4 linked regions of the Lepisosteus oculatus genome follow. The protein of the gene in region 3 purifies or fractionates together with the protein of the main gene of each other region. This does not show direct contact. Links are inferred from orthologs where the notes say so. Each region holds a gene or a part of one and is shown on either strand. Other genes may lie near its edges. The genes, in order: gemin2, ago2, ddx20 and gemin5.

The links.
Region 1: the proteins of ddx20 (region 3) and gemin2 purify together in Homo sapiens (affinity purification with mass spectrometry; 6 studies listed by BioGRID and IntAct, counting the BioPlex papers as one, with this or other methods). This does not show direct contact. The link is inferred for Lepisosteus oculatus from reciprocal best matches to the Homo sapiens genes DDX20 and GEMIN2.
Region 2: the proteins of ddx20 (region 3) and ago2 purify together in Homo sapiens (affinity purification with western blotting; 3 studies listed by BioGRID). This does not show direct contact. The link is inferred for Lepisosteus oculatus from reciprocal best matches to the Homo sapiens genes DDX20 and AGO2.
Region 4: the proteins of ddx20 (region 3) and gemin5 purify together in Homo sapiens (affinity purification with western blotting; 6 studies listed by BioGRID and IntAct, counting the BioPlex papers as one, with this or other methods). This does not show direct contact. The link is inferred for Lepisosteus oculatus from reciprocal best matches to the Homo sapiens genes DDX20 and GEMIN5.

What each region holds. Positions count from the first base shown.
Region 1 is NC_090703.1:3,376,074-3,383,048, forward strand, and holds the start of gemin2 (gem-associated protein 2), read left to right. Parts: upstream 1-3,967; 5' UTR 3,968-4,199; coding exon 4,200-4,318; intron 4,319-4,520; coding exon 4,521-4,605; intron 4,606-5,149; coding exon 5,150-5,239; intron 5,240-6,241; coding exon 6,242-6,301; intron 6,302-6,397; coding exon 6,398-6,517; intron 6,518-6,743; coding exon 6,744-6,788; intron 6,789-6,935; coding exon 6,936-6,975. Other genes in the region: mia2 (cTAGE family member 5), read right to left, coding at 1-1,684, 2,082-2,168, 2,533-2,666, 3,287-3,404. UniProt on the Homo sapiens protein: The SMN complex catalyzes the assembly of small nuclear ribonucleoproteins (snRNPs), the building blocks of the spliceosome, and thereby plays an important role in the splicing of cellular pre-mRNAs.
Region 2 is NC_090705.1:34,006,326-34,013,924, forward strand, and holds the start of ago2 (protein argonaute-2), read left to right. Parts: upstream 1-4,581; 5' UTR 4,582-4,786; coding exon 4,787-4,811; intron 4,812-7,480; exon of another isoform or gene 7,481-7,599.
Region 3 is NC_090700.1:32,130,911-32,138,901, forward strand, and holds the start of ddx20 (probable ATP-dependent RNA helicase DDX20), read right to left. Parts: upstream 3,003-7,991; 5' UTR 2,990-3,002; coding exon 2,794-2,989; intron 1,142-2,793; coding exon 1,047-1,141; intron 633-1,046; coding exon 464-632; intron 1-463.
Region 4 is NC_090706.1:40,639,811-40,647,498, reverse strand, and holds the start of gemin5 (gem-associated protein 5), read right to left. Parts: upstream 3,018-7,688; 5' UTR 2,881-3,017; coding exon 2,739-2,880; intron 2,524-2,738; coding exon 2,369-2,523; intron 1,578-2,368; coding exon 1,396-1,577; intron 805-1,395; coding exon 650-804; intron 200-649; coding exon 95-199; intron 1-94. Other genes in the region: mrpl22 (large ribosomal subunit protein uL22m), read left to right, coding at 3,457-3,484, 3,572-3,614, 4,090-4,222, 5,028-5,093, 5,368-5,445, 6,365-6,434. UniProt on the Homo sapiens protein: The SMN complex catalyzes the assembly of small nuclear ribonucleoproteins (snRNPs), the building blocks of the spliceosome, and thereby plays an important role in the splicing of cellular pre-mRNAs.

The sequences.
Region 1 (6,975 bases), on a different chromosome or scaffold from region 3:
ATGGGCTTTCAAACCTAGAATTCAGCATGTTTTCAGTATTCTCACTGGCACTGGTTTCTTCTATCCTTACTTTTGCCTCACTGTCACCCTGAAGATCACTTACATTTTCAGTGATATCTTGCACAATGCCTGATTTCTCAATCTGATTTTCTGATAGTAAAGTACTTTTTCCAGCAATGTTTATTCCAGTTCCATCAGATTTTATGGTATGATCTTCAGATTCTATTAGACTTTCAGATTTTGAGGCATTATTATCCACTGACAAATCTAATGATTTTAAATTAACTTCTGAATAGGAACTGATCACGTCATGTTCCATGACACTTTCTACATCCAGTTGAACTGCAGGTGGTTCCTCTTCTTTAAGCCTATTTTTTTCTTCTTGACTGTTTTGATTCAAACCACTTATGTTTATAGCACCAGATATGATGGGCTCCTCCTTAGACAGTACATGCTCTTTGTCTTCATCTGAAAATTTGGCTAAACTTTCTTCTCCTAGGATATGCTTGCTGGGATCATAATCTTTAATGTTGCCTATGGAATACATAGATTGAGACTCTTCACCCTGAATTTCTTTAACTTCTTTGCCTAAAGTATATTCTTGACTGCCCGTTTCTTGAGAACCCTGAAATGAACTATCATCATCAACGGCTTTACGTCTTGCCTTATAAAATCCTACAATATTATCATAGACACTGCCATACCAACCTGTATTTTCCTCTTTCTTGTGCTCTTCATCTTTAGTTATCACTACTTCTGGAACAGCATTTGATTCTTTCATCTCAGCTTTTAATTCAGACATCTGGGAGCTTTGCTCACTGTTTCGCTGGAGAGCTGTTATTGTTGTTGTTGTTGTTCCACCAGGATCTTTTGCTTCTTGATCCTGTACAGTATGAACCTGTGATTGACTAAAATCCTGCCTTGGTGTTTTCGCATCTACAGCAGTTTCTAACATTTTACTTTCACCCTCAGTATTTTCTCCCCTTCCCTCACCTTCCTTGTCACTGTTCTTCTGACCATAGCTCAACAGATCCCCGACACCAAAGCTAAGCCAAGACTTGGACTGTGCATCCTCTTCCTTTGTAGTCTCTGTCTCAGCTATCACCCTTTTATTACTCGTTGCTGGACTTTGACCCCTGTCCTGCAGTGTGACTTTTACTCCTTGTTTTTCAGGGGCATCCGGACCCACGACTTCAGACGGAGTTTCTTGACTAAGACCAAATATGTTTGATAGTTGTCCCCCAAGCCAACCAGATTTTTTCGCTTCTGCCACTGTTTCCAGCTTATTACCATCTAAATCATTGTCCTTCAGATCCAATGCAATCTTCCTACTCCTAAAGGAGTATTGTTCCTCTTTCTCTTCCTGGGAAACATCATCCTCTTGGCCTCCGATGCCCAGCCATCCAGTAATTCCAGATCCAAGCCAATGTGACCCACCTCGTTCAACAGTCTTGGGCTCCTCGCTTCTGTCAGTGGTGTGCGGTACTGCCGGGCCATTCTCTTGCCCTTTGGCAATACCTTCGCTATTCTTAAATTCTGTTACAGAGCCTCTTCCAGAGCCACTTGCTTCTGGACTTTCTGTTTCATCTCTTGCTGTTTCTTCCTGATGTTCTTCACTGTCCCAGTGACTGGAGTCACTTTCTATGAAAGCACCGTTTCCGTCTAGACAGAAGAAGTCATGTTCCTGAAAGGAAAAAATAATTCTTCCATGAGAACATTGTGCTGAGAGAACCAAATCCCATCGTGCCCAAAAATCATTAGAATCCTCTTTTCCCCCTTTTAAAAAACAATTAAACAGGGGAAGGAGGTCACTAATTATTCTAGTTCCTATTTTAATCAGATTACATTTATGATGACAAGAGTGTTACGAGATGATTTCATCAGAAATTCATGCGGAAAAAGTCTGGCAGAACATGAAATCGTCAAAGGTTATCAAAGTTATTGTGAACTTATAACTGTACTTATTTAAGTTTAAATTATGAAGATAAAGTATTTGGACTTCAAGGATAGAATTTGATTTTCTTAAACTTTCTTCGTTTTTTTAGCCAACTAGTACAAGAGAACCATGCAAAACTCACTACCTTTGTTGGAACCTGCACTTCTTTTGTTGCATAAGTCTCTTCAACCTCAACTGCATCTTTTGGGAAATAACCAAACCGCTTGCCGATCTAAAGGAAAGCAACCAGAATTTCATTACTTTTATTATACTAGACTTTACATTTCAAATCGTATAGCATTACAATAATATACATATATTCAAGTAGTATAATTTTTAACTATGGGCATTAATATGAGATGAGCCCAGGGTCTTATTTTGTTTTAATAATTGGATTTAAATGTTTAATATCATGTTAGCTCAGTGAATCATCGTACTTTGCATTGAAACATGCATAGGGAAACAATTGAACAAAAACGTGTAATGTTCCTCTAAAGCAGCAATAAAAATCAAAGAACTATGTGTGTTTTATAAGCAGTTGTCGCTCCTTATGGCGGTTTTTCAGTTAAATATCTGATTTCAGTTTAAATACATACAGTTCCTGCCCACAGGTCGTCTCTTTTTCCTGAAAGTTTGTGATATACGAATATTACGTCACCGCTTCTGAAATTCAAAAATCTGCAGTCGGGGTTCTTATAGTTTCGTATGGCCCGGACTCGATTTATTGAGCCTAAAACGATACAAAAAAACACAAAAGGTCATATTCTTGCAAAACGGAAAAAACAAGCAGGTACTAGTTTGTAGTAAGAGCAATTAAAACACCATTCATTTTTAAAATTGCGTATTTTGCTTTGGCAATCAGGAAGCAATGGCTCAGAAGTGCTATATCCACTCGTTGAAAAGTATTTATAGACTTTAAAATGGAAAATAAACATATATATATATTAAGCTTGTAACGTTTACCTTAATATGCGAAATGAATGTTATCGACCTTTGACCTATAGTTTGCTTAGTCACCGAGTACCAAGTCTAAAATTGGTTAACTCTGAACTCGAAAAAAATATATTGCTACGCAGATCGAGATGTATTTAAAAAAATATCCATACTCTTGAATAAAGATAAAACAACTGGGTGATAATGGTTACCATACTGTACATTTGTCGAAACAGTCTACATATGCTAGTAGATGCACTGAAATAATGACATTTTTAAAAGCAAATAGAAACCTACTCCAAACACGAGTGCTATTAAAAAACCTTGCTCATTAATTATTACTTTCTGGAGGTGTAGTTACCTGGAAAACTTATTTCTCTAGTTAGACCCCATATTGTAATAAACATTGATGCTTACTTTCACACTCAAGATCTCCACATGTTTTGTAGTCGGACAGTAACCCCAGACTTTGCCTAGTGTTGAGTAAAAACAAAAGAGCTGGCAGAAAAAGCAGTTCACTAATCCCCCGCACCATGTTTTCAATTAGAAGAAAAAACCCATGTTAAACAGTAGAATCTACTTAAATAAGTTATTTCCACAGCGCCATAATATGGGTTAGAGAAAGTCGTCTTCTAATGAAACAGAAAAAAGGCATAAAAGTTTGAAATTCAAGATATAATCCTGCGAAAACAGCGCCTGTTTAAAATGCGGAGTCAGGTCTGTTTGAGAGTAAATCATTAACTGCAATTGAACGGCTTGAGGGCAAAGCCCAGATAGCATGGACTCTCAAAAGACTATAACAGTGGATTCAGCTAATGACATTAAAATACATTTAGGGGAATCAGGGGTAGAATAAACGACATCAATGGCGACAAGTTTCGCACGTTGCGTTGTAACATAGCGATCTGCGTTCTGAAACGGGAAAATTGTTAATGTTTATATTATTTTCGAGGTGAACGTTTAACTGCTAACACGATAACAGCTAACACGCAAATACAACGTGTAGTTTCAATTTAGTCGACCTATTCATATTTTCTATACTGCTTCACTTCATCTGTACTGTTTGTGCATTTCTGGCAACAAGCGGTAACCATGGCAGACGTCGCGTAATTTGTGCGTCACAAAACAACATGGCGGCGACCAAGGGAGAATAAGAGTAGCGCATGAACGATCATAATTTGTATTTTAAAGCGTTGAGTGACTACAAAGCATTAATCTAAAAAAAAAAATCAGAGATTTAATATGTACCCCGTTTCGAGATAAATCCACAGCTGGGATCTTAGCCCAGAGGTTAGTAGTGGGGATCTATTTCAAACTGAGCACAGCCACTATGAAGTCCGATGTAGAGGAACTCATGCCCAGGCTCCTGCCTGTGTCAGAATACGATACTGAAGACATTGATCCCAACGTACCTCCAACAAACCCCCAGGAGTATCTGCGACAGGTTCAGTAAGTTCGTTTTATGTTTTTTGTTAAAAAAAGCTTATTCATCTCTGTGATGAAAATAATAAATTAATCGGAAAGGTAAATCTAAACAGTTCTATCGCAGAGAATGACGCTGTGTGCATCTGTATTAAAAAGTGCAGTTTAAACAGGATTCTATTGGATCTGTAAGTATGGAACAATTCTGTGAACGGAATTTTCTTTTCAGGCTGGAGGCTGCGATGTGTCCTGATGTCGTTGTTGCCCAAATTGACCCAAATAAGCTGAAAAAGAAACAGACTGTGAATATTTCGGTAAGGTGTCATTTATAGTTCAAGTAGGTACTGTAGATGCGTCAAGCTACTTCAAGTAAGGTGACACACCTGAAGAAGGCCTCATCGCCGAAACGTTGTGTTTCTTTTCTTCTCTTTTCAGCATGGAATACACCTTTACTTGTTCCGTTGTTGTTTATATTCCGCTGTGCTGGAGTATGCTGTGTTTGTATTGCGTGGAAAACCATTATTACAAAATACATCCTTACTGCCCTGCAGTTCTTCTAACTTCTTCTGCTTCTAAGGGGTTCCTCTTAAAATCATTAATGGATTAAAAAACTGAACATGTCAATACATTATTTCACCTTGCTTAAACATAAGTGTTCCCAACTCGTGGATGTTACTTCCATTTAGTACTGTGAGAATTCATTTTTCTTGGATTACCATTGTGTAGCACAGTGCTTCACAGGGCTTGCTGACACAAAATCTCGACAAAGCCTTACAGTAACACTGACGACCACTTGTGTGTGTATCTGGGTGTCTGTGATTGTGTATCTAACATTGGACTGACTTCACTGTCTGCCAGCTTTCTGGATGCCAGCCTGCCCCTGAAGGACTTGCCCCAAGTCTCAGATGGCAGCAACAGCAAGTTGGCAGTTTTTCAGATGTCAGACAGGTAAAAAATATTTATTGTAAAGTTATTGTACTTAAAGTATACAGGCACTGGCCAGGCTCACACCTGCTGAGCTTCAGTAGGCTGCCAGTGGTGAGTTATATAATGGTGAATTGTATAATGTTAGCATACCCAGAGGGGTTGGGCAGCCAGTTGACCTTGGACCCCTAGAGGTTTTTCTTCTCTTTACTGAGGAGTTTTTGGTTCCTCTCCTCTGTTGTCTTCTGGCCTTTTCTCTTTCTGTGACATGTAACATGACATGTAATGTATTGTCCCACAGCTTTTTTAAGTGTCTTTTTGGGTCAACCTCGTTGTGAAAGGCCCTATATAATATTGAATTGAATATGGCTGCTGGCGTAAAAGTGCCAGCGCCTGCTGTATAAAAGTCTCCTCCCACAGCTGCAGATAATATTATCCTTTTACAAGAACTGCTGTAATGCATTGTTTTCAGTCTCTATGTCCAGATAACTGTAGTAAAGCCGTGCCTGCAGTTCCCCTTATTCGTTCTAGTTGAATTATTTTCGCACAACACTTTCCTGCCTTGTATAGGGACTTATTTGCATTTCTCTTGACTAGATTTGCATTATTTCCCCACTGCTAGGCTGCTGCGTGTATCTGTTTCTTCCTGTCGTCATCTTTATGCTGATTTATTCTAAGTTTGTGATTTGTGTCCTTGCTTTATTAGGATTTTATTGTATTGATCTACCTATTGCATTGATCATATGCAACTGGAAGGGCTCCTGGATAAGAGCTTCTGCGAAGCATATACATAATGCTAAAAAGGTGTCCAGCTTTATAATATAGGTCACAACTCCAGTCCTCAGAGCCAGAACACATGAGGTTTCTTGTTCTCTTTCAACACGTATTTAATTGGTTCAGTAAAACAACTAGTCAGCTCAATTAAGTCTAGAAGAGCAGAGATGTAATGAAAACTTATACACTGCTGCCCACCAGGGCTAGAGTTGCACACCCCAGGCGTATAATATCTATATTTTTTGCTTTCAGAGGGTAAACAAACATCGGCAGCACTGGAAGGAGCAATCCCTGGATGACAATGTGATCATGGTGAGAACATACCACTGAGACACTTGATTTGTAACTTGGAGGGGGGGGAGAATTGGGTCAATAGTGTTCAGTTATTTCTTCATTTATACTCACTAGCCCAAAGCAGGCGATGAAGAAGGGTGGAAGAAGTTCTGCTTGGGCGAGAATGTGTACTTTGAAAGGCCACGCACACAGGACCCCATCGAGAGCGACAGCCCCAGTATTGATTACGTCAAGGTGATTATTGACCTGTTCGCATCCCTCTGCTGCAAACAAAGCACCGCTGTATTGAAAGCTATACACAGGCGGCTAGTGAGGGGAATATTGTTCCCCATGTTCCTTTTTACTCTGATCCAGGAAAGCCCTGGCTTTGGAGATGAGTAATGAGATTTTCCTGACCTCAGCTGTTACACATGTGGACCCATTGAGAACATGTGTGACTCTTCTGCTGTCTTTCTTTCAGGTGGGGTTCCCTCCTCTGCTCAGCATCGTCAGCAGATTTAGCCAAGTAAGACGTTTCATTTTGCTAGTACAGATCAGCCTGCATTTGCTTGTATTTGATTTAGGCACCAAGGTGGAGAAGGTTAATATCTGAGAAAGACAAGAAATACATTATTGCAGTGGTAATATAAATTAGTTTTGCTTTCTCTTCAAGGTATTAGTTACTACTGTTCTGGAGTATTTGATCAACTGGT
Region 2 (7,599 bases), on a different chromosome or scaffold from region 3:
TCGTTCAGGTACTTTTGGCTTGGCTTCAAAGTGCCCTTGCTAATCAATTTTCTGTTTACCCCATGTACTCCGTGTGGAAGGGCAGGTTGATCTAGTTAATGTCTGGTTTGTTATGATGCCCATTTTCCCTTCTTCATAATCAGCTTCCTGGTACTTCCTGCAACTCACAACTGGCAGCCCCACTGAAGCTAAGCAGGTGTGAGCCTGGTCAGTACCTGGATAGGAGACCTCCTGGGAAAAACTAAGGTTGCTGTTGGAAGAGTTGTTAGTGGGGCCAGCAGGGGGCGCTCACCCTGCGGTCTGTGTGGGTCCTAATGCCCCAGTATAGTGACAGGGACACTATACTGTAAACAGGCACTGTCCTTCGCATGAGACATAAAACCGAGGTCCTGACTCTCTGTGGTCATTAAAAATCCCAGGGTGTTTCTCGAAAAGAGTAGGGGTGTAGCCCCGGCGTCCTGGCCAAATTTACCATTGGCCCTTACCAATCATGACCTCCATCTATGAATTGGCTTCATCACTCTGCTCTCCTCCCCACTGAGAGCTGATGTGTGGAGAGTGTACTGGTGCACATTGCATCATCCAGGTGGGGCTGCACACGTGGTGGTGGAGGGGAGTCCCCATAATCTGTAAAGTGCTTTGAGTGGAGTGTCCAGAAAAGCGCTACATAAGTGTAAGTTATTATTACTCAAAGGGATGAGCAAATGTATCCTGATCCATTTGGAGGGGAGTATGCACTCCCCTCCACTTTATCCCTGCTTCATAGAGCTGATAGAGCTCATTACTCTTGTGGTTGATTTGTAATGTTGCTGTGTGGTTTAAATCAAGATCGGTCTGAGGGAACTTACAGAAACACATGGCTTTACTATAAAGCCGAGTTAAAACACTTTGATCACACGCAGACAGAAACCTTTACACTAATTTGGTGACCTTTCAAACTACTCTTTTAACTTAGTGAAACCGAGAGTAAAACTAAATGTCACATTCCAAGATTTAGTGAAGATTTTGTGTTGACAGATATAAAAGTTCTAAGGTACTTGAGCTGTGAGATGTACATACTGTATATCATATATTTAAACATCATAATAATTATTAAACAGAGATTTGGGAAACATATGGAGTACTTTTCTATGGTTTAGTAAGAATAATCAGAAAGAACAGTTCAGCTGTTATCCATAGTTCAATTGTAAGAGTTATGAAATAGGTGCAATAGCATATTAACAACATGGTATGACATATTGCATTAACATTTTAGAAAGAAACCATTTACCTATTACAATGGTTTGATTTAACAGTGAACCATTAAGTATTAGATATTTATTTTGCAATCAATAATTGTTTTTCATGTTCTTATCTATGTTAAAAACATACTCTCACGTTGCAAATATAATTAAGATATGATTATACCTTGTAAACTTATTTTTGTTGAGAGTGGAGGATTCTGGTATCTTTTCCAGAGGCAAAAAAAATAATGTAGAAACAACATATATTTCCTTCTATTTAGAATCATTGTTATTTTAATGTTATTAAACAAACAACATGTTTATAAAATAGCAATGGAAATATCTGCATCATCCTAAATTTATGGAAAAGTGTCGTGTTTGCAGTCTGTCTGATGTGTAGAAAATGAGTGACCTCCCAAGATGGGCTGGCTCACACTAACTGAGAAAAGCCAAGTAGAATATGATCTAGAGTAAAAACAGATATGAGTCATGTATCATATTTGTGCAAGACTGGCTTCACACTGCTTTTTTTCCCTAGAATTTACTGTTCCCATGTGGGGCTGAAACAATGATATGACTGGCTCTTGAGTCAGATTCATGTGTAGAATATCTGCATGCAGCTGCATTCTGGAAATTACTGAATATTGTAGGGCCATGCGTTACTGTACGTAACCCTGTTACTAGATTTGAAAAAAGCAATGCATCAGTCCTAACATTTGGTCCTTATTATAAGACTGCTGAGCACATCCTCTGACATTATCACACAAATCAGGCACACACTAATGCAAAGCAAAAATATAACAATAATAATTCCTTACTTAATTCGTTAATTATAGTGCTTTTCAATACAATAGATCTTAAATATCTTAAACATAGGAGACGATCCACTTCACCAACCAATAAATACAGCTCCCATCTCGGTCGTACGCAGAGATTCCCAGACACAGCAGAGGTAGTAAGAAAATGCTTAGCTGAATTAAGGGGGAATTCTGGTTAGACCAGATGGTATAAACCTAGAGTAGAAATTAGCAAGCACACAAGTCTTTAGTTTTACAAACATGGGACAGACTTTTGTTACCGAAATTTAAAGTCAGCAAAACGGTAAAGGTTTGTTCCATGTTGAAAAGACAAGAAGAGGAACACAATGTTTCAGCTGGGGAGCCTTCTTTGGGTATGCTTTTTTCAGCATGAAATAAACCTTAACTTGTTCCTTTGCAGGCTACCATGGTAACACAACTACATACTTGAATTAGTCAGCAAAGAGGCCCTTGCATTTTTTAAAGAAAATTATTTCTGTTGTGAAAACACAAAATATGTGTAATGGAGAATATAGTATTGTTAGGACAACTACTGCAATCAAGAAACTGGATTCTGATAAACATTATTAAGAAGATATGTTTCCAAGTTCATAAAACATTAATATAACAATATTCTTAACATTTTTCAGTTAGATAGTATTAAACAAATTGTGATCAAGCTAGCGTTTTATTGGAAGGACTTATTTGTAATTTATGATTCATTAATTTAATGAAAATGCTGTAGTCTTTTGTTTTGACAAGTTTAGACGGTACATTTCAGACTATAAGCAGTTTCAAAGTACTTTCATTTTCAATGCTTGTGTTTGCAAAAGGATTTAAAATAAAAGCAAAGGAACTGACCATTTTTTAGTTTTATTATTGTTCTTGCAGTGTAATTAAATTTTACATATTAAAATAGAAAAGCTTCTGCAAAAGCCATCACAGTGTTATATCACATAAAGAGTTTGGTTACCGCAGAAACAGTTTTGATTTGATCCCAAAGAAAAAACATTCACTGCATTTGTAATCATTGGGCTGGTCAGGAAGATAAGATAAGATAACACTATCCCAAAGGGAAATTGGGGAATTTCCTAATTTTTTTTAGAAATTAAGTAATTGTAATTTCCATTCAAATATCTTACTTTCGGAAAGAAAAAACATAATCAAAAACCAATATAGGGTTTGGCATGCTATTGAAAAATATTACCTCTCTCCAGTCAGTCTGCAGAGGAGCAACTAGATACATTCTGGGCCTTAAAGGAATGTTTGGCACCAACAGGTTTTAGGACATGAACCTTTTTAGGTCTGAGCAAAGAGCACTAAAGACAGGAGGGAGCGATCCAAGTATTCAAAACCTCAAAGTCAAGCCAACTTCACAAGTGGATACTATGTGGTAGTTCATTTGAATCTGAAAACAGGAGGCATTTACTTAAACAACATTACATTATTGAAACAATCTACATTGTGAGAGTGTAGAGCAAACTACCCGTCCATGCTGCTGAAGCCGAAACTCTGCCTTCTTTCACAGAAATAAATGGGCGTCATCATGTGGTCAATTACAGCCACAGACGGGTTTTATGGGTCTAATCGGAAGCATAGAGCCCGAGAAAAGTACAATTATCATGTCAGTTGAATTCACGCTGCTTTTCCAGACAACCCTACTGCACCGTCTAGAATCCATAAAATAATATTTGGCGGTTGCATTTTGAGTTCTAGTTACAGATTCATAATTACACGTGGGAAATGATCAACGCTGTTTAAAGTCGAAACAACGCGTTCTTTTCTTCCTAAACTTGGGCTCTGGGGGAGATGAACAGGATAACAGGCAGAAAGACACGCTTGCAGAGGTTGGCAGAGGACGTGAGCGTCGCTTGAAAAAGTTCCCTCTCCAAGTACAGAGGACTCCCGCTTGCAGTTAACAGGGAGGGGAGCGAGGCGGGACATCGCGTCTGGTATGCAAACAGGACAGTCTTGATGCGTGTTTTCTGAATGGCCGTTTTTATAACGGCTAACCACGCCGCAATTATGTTTCAGATTTTAGAGTAGCCCCATCCTCTGTTTATACTTTACGACGAAAAAAAAAGTAACATGTTAAAAGAAGTCATCACAGATCAAAGACACTCAAGCCCTTATTTACTTTATGTTACACGCGACTGTTCCTGGTACCGACACTTAAATGGAAATATTTTTTATATTGTCCCATACTAGATTAGGGCGCCTGCAAAGTAAATATAGTAAAATAATAAAAAAAAAACTGGTTGGTATCCGGTTTACAAATCATCGTCAAAGCGGGCTGTATTTTGTGACTGAGCCAAGTTTTTGTTCCTTCGAAGCCTGTAAATGAACCACATTAAAAAACAAACAAACTGTACAGGCAGGTACGTTTTTGCCAGTTTTTTGTTGTTGTTGTTGTTGTTTCCCGGTGCGGTAACTGAAAAAGCCCATCGCTTCAAGCCTATGAACACCGCGCAGCGGCGGCGTCCGCCCAGAGGGCCCCGGGCGAGCACATGGCTTTCACCGCGCCGGCCCCCCTGGGTGACGTCACGGCCCCTTCTCCTCTCCTGCGGTGAGCTGCTGGGGGAGGAGCGGAGGAGCCCAACTAGCGAGGATCCGTGTTTGTGTTTCATTCCCTTCACCCCCCAACTTTAATCCTCTCGAGTGAGGCTGCCCCTCTTGTTCAACGTAATCACGGCGAATAATTTTTTCTTTGGGGGGGGTGGAAATCTGAAACGTGGAAAGTGAACGGCAGCCGGACGAGACGGAAAGATGTACACGGGAGGAGCAGCTGGCGGTAACTTCATCTAGTTTCTTTTTTTAAAAAAAAAATACTACAGAATGTGTGTTGATGGGGGAATTTAAAAAGCGGAGGAGGAGGTGGTGGTGGTGGGGGGGAGCGTTTATTTGTTTAAGTTTGCCTTTTAGTGGTTCCGTAAGGAAAGTTGGGCTTCCAGTTGAAAATCGCTTCGTGTTTGCAAATCGCCAGGCGTGGGGGGAATGAGATAACGAGTCTTGACGCGGAGAGCGAGTCTGGAGGAAAGAGTTGGGAGCAGAAGGGAGGGATAGAGGCCCAAGACACCGATAACGTGAGGAGAGTAGGTCGGGGAGGGGGGGGTTATCGTGGTACGATTTCGGACGAGCCCCTTGCGAGGTGAGCCGGAGTGGCGCCGCGGTCGTGCGAGTTGGCGCACCAGCTGCGCCTCACGGCGGTTTCTGGTCGCGCTGGCGGGGTTGGCGGTAGGCCTGAGCGCCAAGCCCCGAGCTGGCGTGAGCGCGCAGGCGGGGGGACCGGGGCTGAACTCCCGGGGGCATCCGGCGCTGGCGGCTCGGAGTCATGGAACCGGTGCACCCCGCTTCCTCCTGCGGAAACGCACGCTGAACAAGCTCACGAGTTTATCAACGTGAAAATAATGACTAAATATGGTCTATAAGGCTGCTAGGCACGTCTCTGTACACTGGACAGCACAATGGTTGCGATACTGTACTTTCAGCATCGTGGACTTTTTCTGCTCTGAGACCAATGTTTTCGTCAGCTAGCGCGTATTAAATGCAGAATTTGTACGACACAATTGTGGCTTTTGAATATGTAGGGTGGATCTTGAGATCTTATATCAGTGGTGGAGTGTTATGTGTTGTTAACGGCAGCAAGAGTTTAACTTCATTCCCACACAACTGGGTCGTTCATTACGGTGATGTTGTTATTGAGGGTTTTAAAGTGAAAAGTGCGCAGCTAATGGTAGTTTATCTGTCTAATTTCCACTGTGAACCACAGCGGTTCAGGTTGCGGTTTGCCTGGCATCAGAGCATACCTGTTTTTGAAACTGGAACTAGACCAGAACTACAATCTAAACTCCTTTTTTTGTATCCGAAATGCATCGGTTTTTTTCCCGCTGGCTCTCCTTGCCCTTTTAAGTAATTACACACTGCAACACAAGACATTTTACGTTGTGTACTGTATTACAAAGGGACTTTATATGTGATCAAGAACGCAGATTCCAGTAATGCATCTTCAGTTTACCTTAATCATCCTCATTTTCCCTTTCCCTTTGACTGAAGGGGGCTTTATCTGGGAGAAAGGGGATGTCCCTGTCATCTCAACGGTAGGGAGGGATAACTTGGCTAGTGTAGGTGCAGAAAGATGAAGCTATTTTTGAAGTAGGCCATACGTCTTTCAGTGTGATGACCACAAATATCCATGTGGTAATTGAAATTGTTCTGTTTTAAGACATATGAATGACAAAGTAGTATGGGCTAAATTTCATTAGAAGATGACTGCTCTAATGGCATTTTGGTGTGGATATCACATCTCCCATTTGGCTTTGATATTCTTGAAAACTAGGTATGGCTCATATGTAGTAAGTGCTATGAGTGATTTTGAGTGTCAAAATGAGAAGGTGATTGTGCCTCGCCCCTGGTACAGAATGATGTTAAAAAAACTGTCTAGGGTAGATAAAAAAACCCTAAACTGATGGCGGGATTTCAGTATGCTTCAGTTAAGCGTTCTTAAAACTGCTGCTTGGTTTCCTCTGATTTCTAGATTCAGACGTGAGCGAGTTATGTGCTATCCTCAGGTTCACTCAGTTCCTGACTGACAGAAGAGTATCTTAGTCAAGTATCTGCACAAGTTCCTGGAATTTGCTGGCCAGTTTGTATGATCTGAAAGCCTTGCACAAAAGCCAGGCCCAGTTGGCTCAGAGCAATCCATTGCACTCTTATTTTGTAGCTACAAGTACAGCTTTGCTCCCTTTTACAGCCTAGAACAGCAGTAACACATTATGATCAAAACCTCAGAAGGTCTGTGAGCATAGTGATTCGTATTTGGATTTCCACAACTTATATATTGTAAACTCACGATGTATTATAAACTCAGAAATAAGTTTATTGTTCAGATGAAATGTATAAGGAGTGTTTAAAGCTGTATTTTGTTTTAAAAGCAGACCCTTGGAAACAAAGGTTGGTTGTAATACTAATTTGATATTTTCAACAGTGACTCAACTTTTCGATGGCGAGTTCACTTGTAGCATTTAAGTAAGTGAAAATGTTTATAAGCCTTATATCAGATATTCTGGATTGCAAATGGTAGGGAAACACACTTGGAGAGTTTTTGATTATTATTCGGGGGATTTTTTCGAGACTTTCTGGCAGTGGGCACGTGGAAAAAGGTCAGATCCTGGATCGGACGGCACTGTTTCTAAAAAAGGTTTGTGAGATAGTGGAAGATACGGAGGCACACTTTCTTGGAAAATTGAGTGTCTGCCTTTTCACTTGATCTACAGACATGAGAAACCTGTCTCGGCTGTTACTATTTGTTTGTGATAGATTGGATGAAAAAGATGAGATCAGTACAAAATTGGCCTGTCAGCTCTGTTCCAGCAGAATTAACATCCTGTATGTCTGATTCCTGACCCTCAAATAATCAGTTTGTAAATTTGTGCAATAATATTTTACTAATCATATATGGATGTGATTTGGTCAGTTACACTTATATAGCTCTTTTCTAGACACTCCACTCAGAGTGCTTTACGGTAATGGGGACTCCCCTCCACCACCGCCAGTGTGCAGCCCCCACCTAGCTGATGTGA
Region 3 (7,991 bases):
GCAAATTTAAAAAATTACTTCAAGTAGAAAATTAAAATAAACTACCCTGCGAATAAGCACTGGGCAGATCAGTTACTGGCCATGATTAGTACTGGTTACTAAAGGCTCAGCTGCAGACAGGGGGAGTCCTCAGAATTTGGAGCTTCCCCAGGGGACCAGGACTGAAATCCATGATGTCCCTTTCTCCATAGTTTTGCAATAAACTGGTGTCAGGTTCAGAGGGAGAATGACAGAAAGCTTAAAAACAAGAGGAGCCCATTGGCACATCCTGCAGTCATGTCAGACTGATTCTGGTGTGCTGTGATCCTTGACAGGATAAGCAGTTTTCCGATGGATGTTTATTTAGCACTGGTGTAAGGAGAGGTGAGGATCAACAGAAAACGAAATGCCAGTGGTTAATGTGTTCTGACCAGAGGCTTACAACCCTGAGAATCTAAGCAGTGCCCACACTTTCCTTACTGACCTGGAGAGCCCACAGCAATGTGGCACTTCTTCAGCCTGCTCTTGTCCAGACTGACTGGGGTGCCCCCGATGAACACGTGGCACTCCAGGCCTTCCATGGCAGCGCCGACTGTTGTGACGACCGAGTGGATCTGCACCGCAATCTCACGGGTTGGGGCCAGAACGAGCACCTGCCAAAAGAGCGAGACGCTGAGGCAGACTGAGCAAAACAAACCTGTAGTCCTTGGGGCTCAAAAAATAATAAAAATCCCTGCTCGTGCAATTCTGTTTAACCCAGAATGAAATTTAGTCTTTGCAATTTACTATCGCGGTGAATCTACAATCACACACTTGTTATTTGTCAACATTGTATTTAAAAAACTTTTATAGTACTGGTGACAGAGACAGCCAGGCTGCTGTGACATGAGAGCGACATGAAAATGTCCATTTTAGATTTGTACATATTGCTCTAGTAATGACAGACCCTTGCCAGGAGTTCTATAACTGTTTAACTTAAGTCACATTAATGAGGGACAGGCTTGCCACACAAAAGCAGTTTGCAGGTTTGCAACCTTTAAAGTATCTGCTGTATGCCAGGATCTCACCTGTGTGGACACATTCTTCAGGATCAGAGAGTCTAGGGCAATGGTGGAGAACACACAGGTCTTCCCAGTGCCAGATTTGGCCTGAACAATAAGATCTGGAAAAAGACAAATTCCAATTAAGACCACATGGGGGAGCCTCACACCACAAATACTTTTGGAAACATAATTCTACTGCATATGAAAAAAAAACGAGTAGGTAGCCGTGTCAGCATGCGTAGGCTGCAAAGGAAAAGGTAAAGGTTTATTCTGCGCTGAAAGAACAAGAAAAGAGATACCAGGCTTCCGGATTTTTTATGAAAAAGCTGGAAGCATTTTACCTCCCTAAATAATATTTTCTATTATGTCTTCTTCCTGCATCTACCATTTCGGATAACCCAATAATATCATATGCTCACTAAAAGTCTTTATAAATGACACTTGTGATAATACTTTGGGTTTCCCAACTGATCTAACCAGTACAGGTGATCACTGAGAGAGCACGTTAAGCCCTATGACCCGGACATGATAAACACCATCAGGATTCCTCAGGCACTGATACACAACTGGCAGAGCATCGCTGGGGTAGGACAGGTGTGACAAGTACAGTGCTCCCTGAGCCAGCTGGGATTTGATTCCAGACAGCCGGAGGCATGTGTCCACACAGCACCACTGCCTAGACAGCAGACAACTCCACCACAGGAGAATTCTACACAACACCAGTGACAAGTGAAGCTCTACTCTACCCCTGCCCAGGCCCAGGGCCACAGCACTACAATCTAGCCAGCAGAGAACCCCACTTCAGCAGAATTCGACATGGTCTGGATTTCAGAGAGAGTTGACATCCACTGCGTAGTGGTAGTTATAGCACAATAAAAAAATGTGTTTGTCATAATTGCAAAAGTACCATTATACTTCTTTTATCTTGTGCAGTTGAGAGCTACTAACCTCTTTGTAAAGACCATGTAAAAGGGTCATTTAAAATGGGCATATAAATTATTCACACACCACTGAAAAATAAAAAGATCTCGTAACTGCAAGCCAAAGCCAACTGATTTTGGATAAGAGACATTATGAAGATGTCTGAAATCAAAGCTCCTACAATTGGATGCACGTTGTTGTATAATTCATACCGTGGCTAATACGAAAGGTTTGGGGCACGTTTATGTTTGACAGGAGAAGAAAACTGAAGCAGCACAGCATTATATCAAAGACAAAATTAACATTACAGATAAATAGAGGCTTTTCCCATCACAGTAGGTGTGGTTCCATATTTAAGTCACGGTCGTCCATCGGTTCAGAGATTACAGGTTTTTTTTGGTTTGTTTTTATATTACACTGGTTTATATGGCGTTAGCCGTACCGAGAGCACATGTCTCAATTATGAGAGCAGACTTGCCAGCCACGCCTCCCACTTTCCCAAATATAGAGAAATGTAGCTTCCGAGGTAAACGGAATTGTTTATTCATGGCATCTGTAATAAACATTATTTTCATTACCAACAATACTGCACATTTAATTCACACCTGATTTTTTAATCTATCTTGTATCTTGTAATGGGTACACACCGCAGTGTGCTATAATCGTTTACGAATATGATTAATTATTTCCAGAAATTGCTTATCTTAATGTTAACGAAGATAACAGAGTGTCTATTACACTACAGGAAGCACCACTTTAATTAAAGAGATTTTATCTTTAGGCTGCAAAGTGCAAATCGCAGTTCACATTTAAATCCAACCCAAAACGTTCGTAAGAATAGCGATCCTACCGAGCCCACAGCGACCGAGCGGGATGGCTTTCAGCTGGATCGGGGAGGGTTTCTGGAAACCCGCGGCAGCCAGTCCATCGAGGACAGGCTGGGACAGCAACAACGAGCTGAAATCAATACCCTCTGCGAGCAAGACATCTTCAGTCCGCCTCCTGGTTTGAATATCATGTGCAGCCTTCTTCATAGATGCTGCCATTTTGAACCCAAATATCGCGTTCTTTCCGCTTATTGAACGATGAAACTTTATTCGTTACTTTAGGCTCTATGCTGCTCACACGCTCAGTTTCACTTGAGTACTATCAGCACCTTGGACAGGACAACGCAATTCTGAAACACATCGTAGACTGCTTTCAATCAACTCTAAATCCTTGGGAAAGATAATGTTACCCGCCAAGAACACTGACTCTTTAGCTTTGACTTCCAAAAACCTGGTGCGTTGCTTGAATGGTTTTCTTTTTCATCGCCTGTTTTACACCTTAAGGAAATTTGCAATTTAGCCGCTACGGGGCAGTATTTGAACGTCTAAAGTACACATGCTGTTAATAAACTTTCATTGGTATTCGAATTTCTGACATTTCTGACAAAAATATAGACGATCGTGAGGATGACGAATACAAGCCTGATCTGTCATTAGCTACCAAACTTTAAGACTACCAGCAAATCCAAAAAGGTCAACATATAGTAGCAGTAGTAATAAAAGTTATAAAAAGAGTATAAAGCTAAGTTACATTTAGTAATTTAAATGAAAATTTGTCATTTCAATTAAAAGTCCATCTCAGTGAATTGCAAATACAGCCAATATTTTGTAATGTTAAACAGTGAAAACATCTCAAGTAGTGCATGCAGTTAGACTGACAAATCCCTAATTTACTTACCATCACCAGATCAAAGGTCAACCACACTCCACCACTATACAGCTGCTAAGGTACTGAAATCCTATGTTTTAAACAAGAAACATTAGACTTGAACCCACTTCCCACTGATTTATTGCATTGGTTAAAGAATCACTAAGCTGCTGTTGTGTTTTTGTGGTTTCTAGGGGGCACCCAGGCACTCTTTCATGTTCTAGAGTGCCTGATACATCTCTTACTATAGCATGCATGGTGGCAGATCAGTAACTCAGATCAAAATAAGACTTTAATCCTGTATGAGTGAAGGACCTCATAACGTATGAATTGCAAGTTAAATGCTGCTGCTGCATAATCTGTACAAAGTCAGAAATATACAGTGAACTTGAGGTCCAAATCTTGTACTTGATTAAGCCAATGAGAGTAATCAAGGGATCAAACTGGACTGCAGGTTACTAGGCAGTGGGGCACAAAATAGCTGACACACATCATGCAAGACTGTTCCCATCTGTGACAAGATATGTAACAGGAAGGATGTAGTCTTGTCTCTGTTCACTCCTCCTTAACACACAAACACAAACATCCAGAGTAACCCTTGATTTGGATATGAATGGAATGGCTTTCCCATACAAAGCCTGTAAGTGTGAAGATATGTACAGTATCTGACCAAAGTCTGGTGCAAATTTTAATGGGTGGATCAGGAGGATGAGATCAGACAGACATGACTCCCCTTACCCGAAACATCCCCTCAAACCTAAATGATGGAAAATTACAAGAGCTGATGAGTGTGCAAGCTTTATCATTGAAACAAGCATCACCAAACCCCTGAATTAACAAAGTACAAGCATGTTCATCATTACTCTCTGTATTGTGAATGGAAGCTGCCAGCTATAATTAAAAGTAATTACCTACGCACGACAAAGAATAATGGAGAAAAACTGAAAGGGTGAGTTCTTTCCCTCTCACTCGCCTCCCAATTTGCAGTCTTGTGTTTTTAAAAGCGGTAGAGGAATGTAGGGCTGACCAGAAGTAAATTAGATCTGTGTACACCAGAGCAATGATACTCATGTCTCTCTTCTCGTCCACACTATTCTAAGACATGCAGCTGGCATTCGTTCACACAAGTGTCCACAGATCTAAGGCCTCGTTTGCAGTCATTTTGAACAGTTAGGAAGCTACACTGACAGCCAACGGAGAGAAGGAAAGCAGGCAGACACAGCTCCCTGTTTTTTCCAGCCATCCAATTTCTAACTCTATTATAAAATACGGAGTCGCTGGCCAGATGGAGGCTATCTCAGCAAGCATCAGGGGCAAGGCAGCTTACACTCTGTAAGGGAAACCAGTCCTTCACAGGGCACACACCAACACATGTACACCATGGCCTAGTTTCCCAGAAGCCAATTCATGAAACAGTATGTTTTTTGACTGTGGGAGGAAATTGGAGCACCTGGAGGAAACCCACACAAACACAGGGCAAACCTCCAGACTCATGCATGCAGATAACACCCCAGAACCTGAATTAAATCCAGGGCTCCAATGCTGTTAGGCAGCAATGCTAACCACTGCAGCACTGTGTTGCCATTCATGGGGCCAATACTGGGGAAATTAAGCAGGAAGGAAGGGTGGTGGTGTTGTATAGGCTGCTGTATTAAGTGGTGAACCAATGGATTTCAGAACAATGTGTAACACAAATTTCATTTCTTGGAGTTTTTGGAGAGAATGACTTGCTTCTCAACTTTAGGACACTAGATGTGAAACAATTATCTTCTCTTCATCTTTGGCCCTCGTTTGAACCTGGCAGGAGAACGCAAAAAGTTGGGGATTAAGAAAATGAAACATTTGCTATGTTCAGTATTTCAAAGCAACACTAATCTGCTTCCCCTGCCACACTTTTCCTGTGCAATAGGCCTTCGTGGAAGTTTCAGAAAATTATTCTGTGAAATGACAGCTTAGCATGCCAAATAATTTCAGATAAGAATAAAGAATTCACACTTAGTTTGTAACAGTGTAACAAAGGGTAAATGTTTCAGTAAAGTGCACGGAATCTGAACTGAATATTTGTTAAAATTCCATCGTAAAAAATAACACCTTCAATGGTAACTATAATTCAATGGTTTTCTTGGAAAGAAAGCAAGAAGAATAAGTATCCTCCCTTTCCTATTTCTTATTTCATAAGCTTTTTTTTGCTTTTCCAGGCTCTTTTTTCTGTGTCGTACTAAGAAGTACAAATGTATTGTCACTAAAATCATAATGCAAAACCTTTATATGAAATTCCAGCTGAGATACCATATTCAACCCTCCTTTGTCTGCAAAATTGGACCTTTGTTCCACATCAAACATCACCAAGCTTTGATCAGAAAGTTCCTACCTAAATGAGCGGTTCTGTGTTGCGCACTCCTTGTTAAGCCTTAGAGTACATTATCCTTTGCATTTGGATAATTTCCTGCCTCTGCTCTGGTTTGAACAGTGGCACAAGACACAGGACGGCAACATCAGACATCTCTCACACTGTGCGCTGCTCTCCCCAAACAGATTGCTTTGCTGCTCATCGGATGTTTAATTAATGCATTTCCAGCCTCTGCTTTTGGGCCCGGTTTCGGAATCTCTGCCCCATCCACGGCTGCATGCACCTGGGATATCCAAACAAGCAACGCTCTTGAATATTCAATTGAGACAAGCATTCATTTACATGGATTTGGGTCAGATAACGGGAAAGGAGACGAGTTCAAAAATGTGTTTGATTTTTCAGCTACTTTCTGATGTCAAATAGTCATTGTGTGTTTTCTGGAATTTGTTTTCTTTTTTATCCTTGTCACTCTAGAGAGAATACAATTTGAATTTGAGATATTTAGCCGTATAACAGCATTAGATAGTGGAAGAAATGTTCAACCTTTGTGGCTATGGTGCTAAGATATAGTATGCTTTCCCAGTGAGTTCTAAATGATTGTTAACATTAAACATTAGAACTCTTTTATCATATTAATAAACCCATTTTTGATGGGTTAGGCTGTGATTTGCAAAACCTGCAGTAGCAGTCTAAATGACAATGCAACTTTTTGCTAGGAACGTTCTAGGGATTTGCACACACAAAAAAATCACTTTGGGTGTTTTAAAAGACAAAGAAAAAAACACACAAGCCCTTAAAATAGCACACATCAATAAACTCCATGTGAGAATGTGCACTTTATTCACTCATCACCAAATACCTAATAAAGGTCTCTCAATGGGTACAGGTCTGAAATTGGTCTTGTCAAGTCTGGTGTCCCTCAGGGCTCAATACTGGGCCCCTTGCTCTTCAGCATTTACATGTTCCCACTTGGTCAGCTTTTAAGATCACATGGCCTCAGCTTTCATTTTTACGCTGACGATACTCAAATATACATCCATACCAAACCCGACACTGATGTGGCTGTCTCTATTCTATCTAATTGCATCTCTGACATAAACATTTGGATGACTCAAAACTTCCTTCATCTTAACTGTGACAAGACTGAAGTCATGCTTATTGGTACCCCCCATCAACTTCGTAAAGCCAGTCCTGTAACCCTGTCTGTAGATGGCTCTGTACTTGAGCTCCAATCAAAATTGAAAAACCTTGGGGTTATATTCGATTCTGGCTTAACATTCGACCCACATGTACAGCATACTGTCAAAAAATCTTTTTTTCACCTTAGAAATATCGCAAGACTACGCCCTATGCTATCATTAACTGTGGCTGAAAAGCTGATCAACATATTTGTATTCTCTCGAATTGACTACTGCAATGCTCTGCTCCCTGGGGTATCTAAATCTACTCTGAACAAGCTGCAGTATGTCCAAAATTCAGCAGCCAGAATCCTGACCAGATCTAGTGCAAGTGTTCACATTACTCCTATCCTGGAGTCCTTGCACTGGCTTCCGGTCAAATTCCGCGTAGACTTTAAAATCCTCATGCTCACCTACAAGGCTTTACATGGCTTGGCACCTCAATACCTGTCTGAACTTTTATCGCCCTACTCCCCACCTCGCAACCTCCGCTCTTCAAATTCTGCCCTCCTTACTGTCCCCCAAGCCCGTCTACATTGTATGGGCGACAGGGCCTTCTCCTGCTATGCCCCCAAGCTCTGGAACTCCTTGCCCAAGGATATTAGAGAGTCACCTTCTCTAAACTCCTTCAAATCCAGACTCAAAACCCTCCTTTTCAGAAAAGCCTTTACTTAACTGCTTCCATTCTTCACCCCTCTGCTCTTCTTAATACCATCTTCCACGGTCTCCTCTATTGTTATTGTTGTATTGTTGTAATTATAATTGTGTCCTGTCTTGTGAAATTTTCTTATTTATTGTTGTAGTCTTCTTGTTTATTGTTATTGT
Region 4 (7,688 bases), on a different chromosome or scaffold from region 3:
CAAAGTCCTCAAGGGTCAATAAACCAGTGAAGCTCAGTTCAAGACTTAAACAACCACAGTTTGAGAGAGTTCAGTACACTTAAAAAAAGCAAACCTTTTCCCTTCCTGGTGCTCCAAAGGCGGATTGTCTGGTCCTTGCTGCCCGATGCCAAGTAACAGCCTCTCTCGCTCTCATCTTCCACCTCCCCATTGGCCACCTCTGTCAAAGGAACAGAGGGGTCAGGGGAACTGCTCTGTGCGTTCGCCCAGCGGGTCTGAATGCTCTGATAGCTGGCAAACAATAAGTGATACCGGCTCTCTTACCCAGCGGAAAAAAGGCAGAAACTCAACATCGATTAAAATACGAAAAGAGACTGCTGGCTACAGCAGTCCAGAGCCCTGATGTTTTCAGATGAACAGCCTTGGAGTAGAGACCATTTGAATGGGACACACAATGCCAGGCGAGAAGCACAGAAGACGCAGATCTGTGTGAAAGTCTGGCTTTGTGCATCATGCGGGGTCTGAGGCAGACGCTCAGAAACAAGACTGGCATTCATACCAAAGAGCTGGACGATTCCAGCTCTTCATATTTTCCATCTTCTTCCTCTTCAGAAGCCCTGCACCTATCGTCCATGATGCCCACCTAGGTCACCTGGCGAGAGCTCTGTACCTGCGCTTTCCTCCGCCGGCCGGCTGTAGAGCGCTTCCTCGCCAGGCTGGGGGCACCAGGCCAGGCCGTGGATCTCGTCATCGTGGCCTCGCAGCCGGTGCACGACCTCGTTTTTCTTACTGATGTCAATGACAATCACCATCCCATCTTTGTACCTGTGGGAGAGGTCAGCGAGAGCTTCGCTAACAGCACCAAGGACCCGCCAGGCCAGACGGGCCCCTACCTTCACAAGGAAAGCAACATAACAAACCATCTATATCTCCTGTGTGTGGATATTTTTCCTTTTTCCGTAACTTCCGGCATCAAAATACAGCACCAAGAACTCAAGGTGTACACTGATTTTAAGACAAGAGCTTGAGATTTTTCTTTTTCAGTTAGATGAGAACCACTGGTAATGCAAAAAAAGCTTTTTCCAACAGGTCTATTGAGAAATGACATGTGGTATCACTGTGATTGTGAAATACGAATATGCAAATAGAGCCAATTCAGATTTGCGTCATGAACGTGACTAACGTAAGGCGCACTGCTTGAACAATTAAAGCAACAGTGATCATTTGGAGTGACAAAACAGGGAGAACTCTGGGTACCCCAAGTTTGGACAGTGAGCTGTCAGAGGTACCAGCCCCACCCCCCACCAGCTATGTACCGTAACACACTGGAAGAGATGAACAGTTTGTATATTACAAGACATTCAGAATGACTCGTCAGCTGCATGGAAAATGTCCACTCATTTGGCAAGTACTTACCCCACAGCGATGTGGTTCTCATTGTGAGGAGAACAGGACAAGCAGAAGATATTCCTGGGCTCAGGGAAGAAGCTGTGTGTGTCGTTCCTGTTGTGCCAGTAACACACCACAACCCCCTTCTCATCCCCGGAGACCACCAGGTCCTTTTCAATGGGAGACCAGTGCAGCGCTGTTATGGTGCTCTGGAAACAGAACAGCCAAAATACTGCAGCACAAGTGGAGCAGTCAGACAAACCCAAAAAAAGCAGAACCTGCCTGAAGCACCGCCTCACACTTGTGGTCTCTGTGATTCTCTTATGAAGGGGGTGTATTAAAATGGCAAATCTTACTAAAAACAGCAGTCATATCACTGTGCAACTCACACTTGGCCACCCACTGAGGTTAAGTAGGTGTGAGCCTGGCCAGTACCTGGATGGGAGACCTCCTGGGAAAAACTAAGGGTGCTGCTGGAAGAGGTGTTAGTGGGGCCAGCAGGGGGCGCTCACCCTACGGTCCATGTGGGTCCTAATGCCCCAGTATAGTGATGGGGACACTATACTGTAAACAGGCACCGTCCTTCGTATATGACGTAAAACCGAGATCCTGACTCTCTGTGGTCATTAAAAATCCCAGGGCGTTTCTCTAAAAGAGTAGGGGTGTGACCCCGGCGTCCTGGCCAAATTTCCCATTGGCCCTTAACCATCATGGCCTCCTAATAATCCCCTCTATGAATTCGTTACTCTGCTCTCCTCCCCACTGAGAGCTGGTGTGTGGGGAGCGGACTGGCGCATCATCCAGGTGGGGCTGCACACTGGTGGGAGTGGAGGGGATCCCCATGACCTGTAAAGCGCTTTGAGTGGAGTGTCCAGAAAAGCGCTGTATAAGTGAGGGCAATTATTATAATTATAAAAACACTCTGGAGTAATCACAGAAACAGCAAGGACTCATTTGAATAGAGCTTCCCGGGGGAGCCTACAGAGAGCTCTGCACTCACCTGGTGGGCTTTGTGTTCTTTCATCAGAGCTCTTTTCTGCGAGTCCCAGACTTTGACAGTCCCGTCATCTGAGCAGCTTGCGCAGAGGTCCTCTTGGCCAGGGTAGCGACAAAAAGTAAAACCCGAGACTCGCTCTCTGTGGCCAGTCAGCTCACCTGAGAGGAACAAGGCAGTTATTCGACACCTCAGGGCAGAGTACACAGCTGCAATAGGGAAGGATGTTAAGTCTTGTTAAGGATGTTAAGTACATAAACAGAATTGAAAAGTAAAGCTTTAAGGTACTGACAATATAATTAAGGTGTCACATACAGTACAGGAAAAAAAAACACACAGCCTTTTTAAGGGACTGTGAATGTGGGGAACAGCTCACCTAGGATGGCTGGCGATTGTGAACTGATCTGCAGCAAATATACTGAATTTTTAGCTCCAAACCCCAAAACTCCCTTGACATTCGTGTCACTGGACCGGGAGCAGTACCAGTTTGGAGACGCTGATAAAAGTCTCTCGGACATCCTAACTCGCTCAGCCAGTACTTAAAGAAGAGCTGAGAAAGTGTGGACCATCACGCAGCGAAACTGGAACAGACGCACGCTGGGGATCCGCTCATGCTGCTGTCTAAACAGAACGACAGCCGCACGACGAACACAACTGTCGCAAAAACACTACAGGAAGCGAACAGGGTTAAACTTCATTCACGTTCTTACGCGGCGCAGAAGTTTTATGTAAATCAACTATAATATTTAACTCTTGGCAGTATTTTCAGCGTTACTATTTTTAACTGAATTTGGCGCCGCTTTTTTAAGAGTTAATATTAATTTATATGAATCAACGTTATAACTCTTGCGGGTACGGTCAAGTGTCATAAACATCCATCCATTTTTTATGTTTGGCCTGGTGAGGGTCGCGGGGTCATCAATCTATATCATTTTGAATGAACACTGCGGGATTAACGATATTTAATATTAAACGTTTCTTGTTTTGCGGTATTATAACTTCAGCAATTCACTTTCTCCTTGCGATTTGTGTTTGGTTTTGCAGCAGCTTTCCACATCTCTTCCTGCCGTAAAGTGATTTATTCTGGAAGCATTATGGCGGCGTCCGCTATGCTGGGAATGGGTAAGATTATTCGTTTTTTTTGTATTTTGAAACGTGACTTTTGATTTATTAAAAAAAAAAAAACTTGTGATTTTTTTTCCACAACAGGTAGTTCATTCTTAAGAAGCATTGCTGGACGGGTGCAGACGAGGTATGTAAAGTTAATTACAATTTTAATAGTAGCATTGTGCTGTTATGTCTTGGGGAAGGACGCACCATAGCAATACACAATTCCCAGTAAAACTGAACAGCTTCCTGAAGTGTAAATCGGCAAGAGAAGAAACATGTAGACATGTGTTCTCCGCCGTGCTAAGCACAATAAAATCAAGATGTCGAGTCTTTCCGGTAGATGTCCTTTGTGAGTAATATAAATTCATGAGTTTGCAAAGGGGGTCGTTTTCGGACACCAACAATATTTTAATCTATGGCGGCACTTCGAAAGAATAAGGTAACTGCGTTGGGCCTGCAGAAATGGATCACCTCCTTGTCATTGGCAATTGGGATTTTTCTATAGTTTCGTGTCGCTTTACGATTATCCTTGTTTGTAGCCCACTCGTGAACTGCATGTTCCTGGCACAGACACTCGGCCGTGTAATAGTAGTGAGTAATGCGTGTCTTCTGTGCAGGTTGCTTGGGTCATGCAGCTTTGGACAGACTTCCGGCTTTCACTCGAGTGCGGCTCTGGAGGTCAAGAGCTGGGAGAGGAAGAATCGCATCGTGTATCCCCCGCAGCTCGCGGATGAGCCCCGCAGGCCCGCGGTGAGTTTGAGCTCTCCCGCGTGGTTGCAGGCGTGCTGTCACGCTTTTGCAGTCCTGGCAAAGATATGTTTCAGTGCATTGCTTCTCAGAGTGATCGAAAGCTCGTTTGTAGTGAATTTACGCCAGGGCACCAGTTCCAAGCTGAAAGCACGGCCAGCTTTCAGTGCTGCACGCCCTCTGTGCGCGGTGGTGAGCCGTGGGCTCAGCACACTGGGCCTCGGTGGGCCTCAGACAGTCAGGGAGTTCCCGGTGTTCTTTGCTTGAGATGCCGCTGGGGCCCCTGTGTTGTACCAAGTCCCACTGGACTTTTCCAGTGTTGTCACATGTTATTTAAGCCTTGGGGAGCTGTGGGTGGAAGGAAAAAGTAAAATAATTGACTGACTGGTGTGGTGTGGTGGCTCTGTGGCTCAGGATCTGTGCCTGTGGCTGGAAGGCCGGCAGAGGAATCCTACTCCGTTGGGCCCCTGAGCAAGGCCCTTAACCCCAGCTGCTCCAGGGTTGCTGTATAAATGGCGGACCCTGCGCTCTGACCCCCAGCCTCTCTCCCTGTCTGTGTGTCTCATGGAGAGCAGGTTGGGGTCTGAGAAAAGACAAATTCCTAATACAAGAAATTGTATATGGCCGATAAAGTGATCTGATCTGATCTTATCTTATCTTGTTGTACCACTTTGTACTTTTGGATTTACCGGTCTAATCTTAATTAATTAGACAATCAATTGAATGAATCTGTGTAATTAAACTGTAATCTGTACAATCTAATTAATGTAATCTGTGTAATTATATTTCTTTCTCTCTTTCTTTGCAGGAAGTACACCACTGTAGAAGACAAATAAAGTACAGCAAGGACAAGATGTGGTATCTGGCAAAACTGGTAAATTAGACTTTTGATTAATAGCCTTGTGTTCTCTAGGGAAGGTAATAATTTGTTTGCATGTATGTGATGCTGTTTATGCCATTGTGCTGTACTTCTAGGAGAGGACTCGTTTCCTCCATAACTGAAGTGGTGTGTGCCAGCTGCCCTGGTGCACAGTCAAGCAGGCTGATACATGAGGAACTATTTCACCAGGGTTGCCAGAGAGTTGCCTTGGATGAACGTTTCAGCCGCGTAATAAATGATAAAAAAATGTTTTATTTAATACTTACAGATTCGAGGAATGACAATAGATCAAGCCTTGGCCCAGCTGGAGTTCAATGACAAGAAGGGTGCTGCAATTATTAGAGAGGTGGGTGAGATAAGATGCTGATGTAGCGATCCTTAAATCTCAGGAAGGTTAAAATGTTTTGTTGATTGTGCTAGGTTTTCCTATGTAAATCTAAAAAGTCTGACTCTTTGATGTTTGTTGGTCTAAAGCTGTAGAGATTTAATTTTGTTTTCACAAAACATGTTTCAGAAACACCTGTATGTTTTTTTAGAGAATGTTTGTTCAATACTACTGTCTATCAGTGCCTTTTTTTCAGGGTTTGGATCCCCAAAGGTAATAATAATAATAATAATAATAATAATAATAATAAACTTTATTTTATATAGTGCCTTTAAAGGTGGCTTCTTAAAGCGCTTTAATAAGTTAGAACTAGTTATACTATAAACTAGTAATAAAGCTTAGCACTAAAAACATTATATCTGAAAGGCAGAGCATATTCGGATTAGTTTGTCTTGGCAGAAATCTGATCTCTCAGATTATAGCGAATGTGGGGAAAAGGGATGTTGATGTACTGTGTATATAATACGGAGAGCAGGATTCAGGATGTAACACTGTTTTGCAGGGGACAGCTTTAGTCCTGTAGTTCAGCCTTCACCAGCTCTCACCAGGGCTGTGTCATTAGCTGACATATTGCTTGGCTGTTCAGGCTTGGCTGCCTGTAGGTGTGCTGGATTGGCAGTGATGGGCATGTTGCTCCTGGACCAGCCTGACAGCAGCATGCTTGGAAGGGAGGCGTTCATGGGTCCAGTCACCTCTGTGCTCACACAAACATGGTAGCAGAGAGCCCAGTGGGCAATGTGGAACAGAGGAGGGTAAAAGAAAAATACCTGCCTTTTCTAAATTTTGAGGGGATGCTCTTTGAAGTGTTCATAAGTGGACTTGATTCACTCATTCTGTATGGGTCTTGCCTAGTTAATTAACCTGATGTTAATTATTTTAGGTTCTTTTAGAAGCCCAGGAAATGGCAGTGAGAAACCACAACGTAGAATACAAATCAAATTTGTATGTAGGTAAGTGTGTTCCCCACTGCTGTTGTGTCTGTTAATTCATTTTTATGTGCAGAGTCATGCTAGTGGGTTCCTGTCTCACATTTTTGTGAGTTCACTTCATAGACAAGAGACGAGAAACTAGAGACAGTATAGTCCTCAGGAAAATCAAACAACACATGCACTGCAGAATGATTTGAGAAATGAAGGCAAGCCAAAAAATGTGATTTAAAAAGACTAAATCAAAACCAGATTAACAGACTTATTTTCTTCATGAGTTTATCTGCAGGAAAAAAAAAAGTCTTCCTGATTACTGAGCCCATCTGCCTGAGAAAAGCTCATTAGTTGCTTGCTGTGTTCTCTGTACTGCTTGGTGAATCAGCTGCTGCTTTTCTATGGGAAATGCTGCCCTGGCATGAGAACAATAAGGCCCTATACCAGACCTACTAGAGCTGCTCTTATTTTGGGGACAGAGAGAAACTGCTGATCCAGCTTCATTGTCATAGCTAGATAAGTAATATACTCATCTCTGCTCGCGCTGCATTTGTTCCGATTCCAGGTGATGCCTTTTCTGTAAGACACAGTCTTTTCTTTCTCTGTGCTTTATAGTTATCCTTCTTCGCAAATGCCCTAAAAATACATTAGTTTGAGCTATGGAAAAAAGTCATCAAATATGATTTCAGTGTTATGCATAAATTTAATCATGTTCCACTGGAATATTAATTCTTCCTATGGATCTGTCTTTTCTTTTACTGCTCCTGCATTGGTTCTGCTTGTGCTCCAATGTGTTTTACCAGCAGGTGTGGCGGTTCACCTTCGGAATTTGTCACCTGGAAAGAGTTGACTTGCTATGAGTAGCAATACCGAATATTTTGTTTTGCCTTTTTAACTGATTTCACTTGACTTTGAATAGGAAACAGTATTCTGGTGAGCCTCTGCTCTAAAATATTTGTGTATTATATTTCATTAAATATTCATGTGAAATGAAGGTGGTAATCAGGGTGAGTTAAGAGAACAGAGAGGGAATGCATACTTGCACTACAGTAAAATACATGTCTTGTTTTTTTAGAAATTTGAATAAATAAGGTTGACTCTAGTAGTTATTTTAGATGACACTTGACAAACAGAATGTGTTGATATAAGTGGGAACTAGATAAAAGCCAGATGGCCAAGAAACAGTGTGGAGGCTGAGACACTGGGCACTTTCCACACTTGCACGGTAATAGAACCTGTCATTGTACAGGAATGTAGGCAGCTCTTCCTGGCTGAATGGCCCGG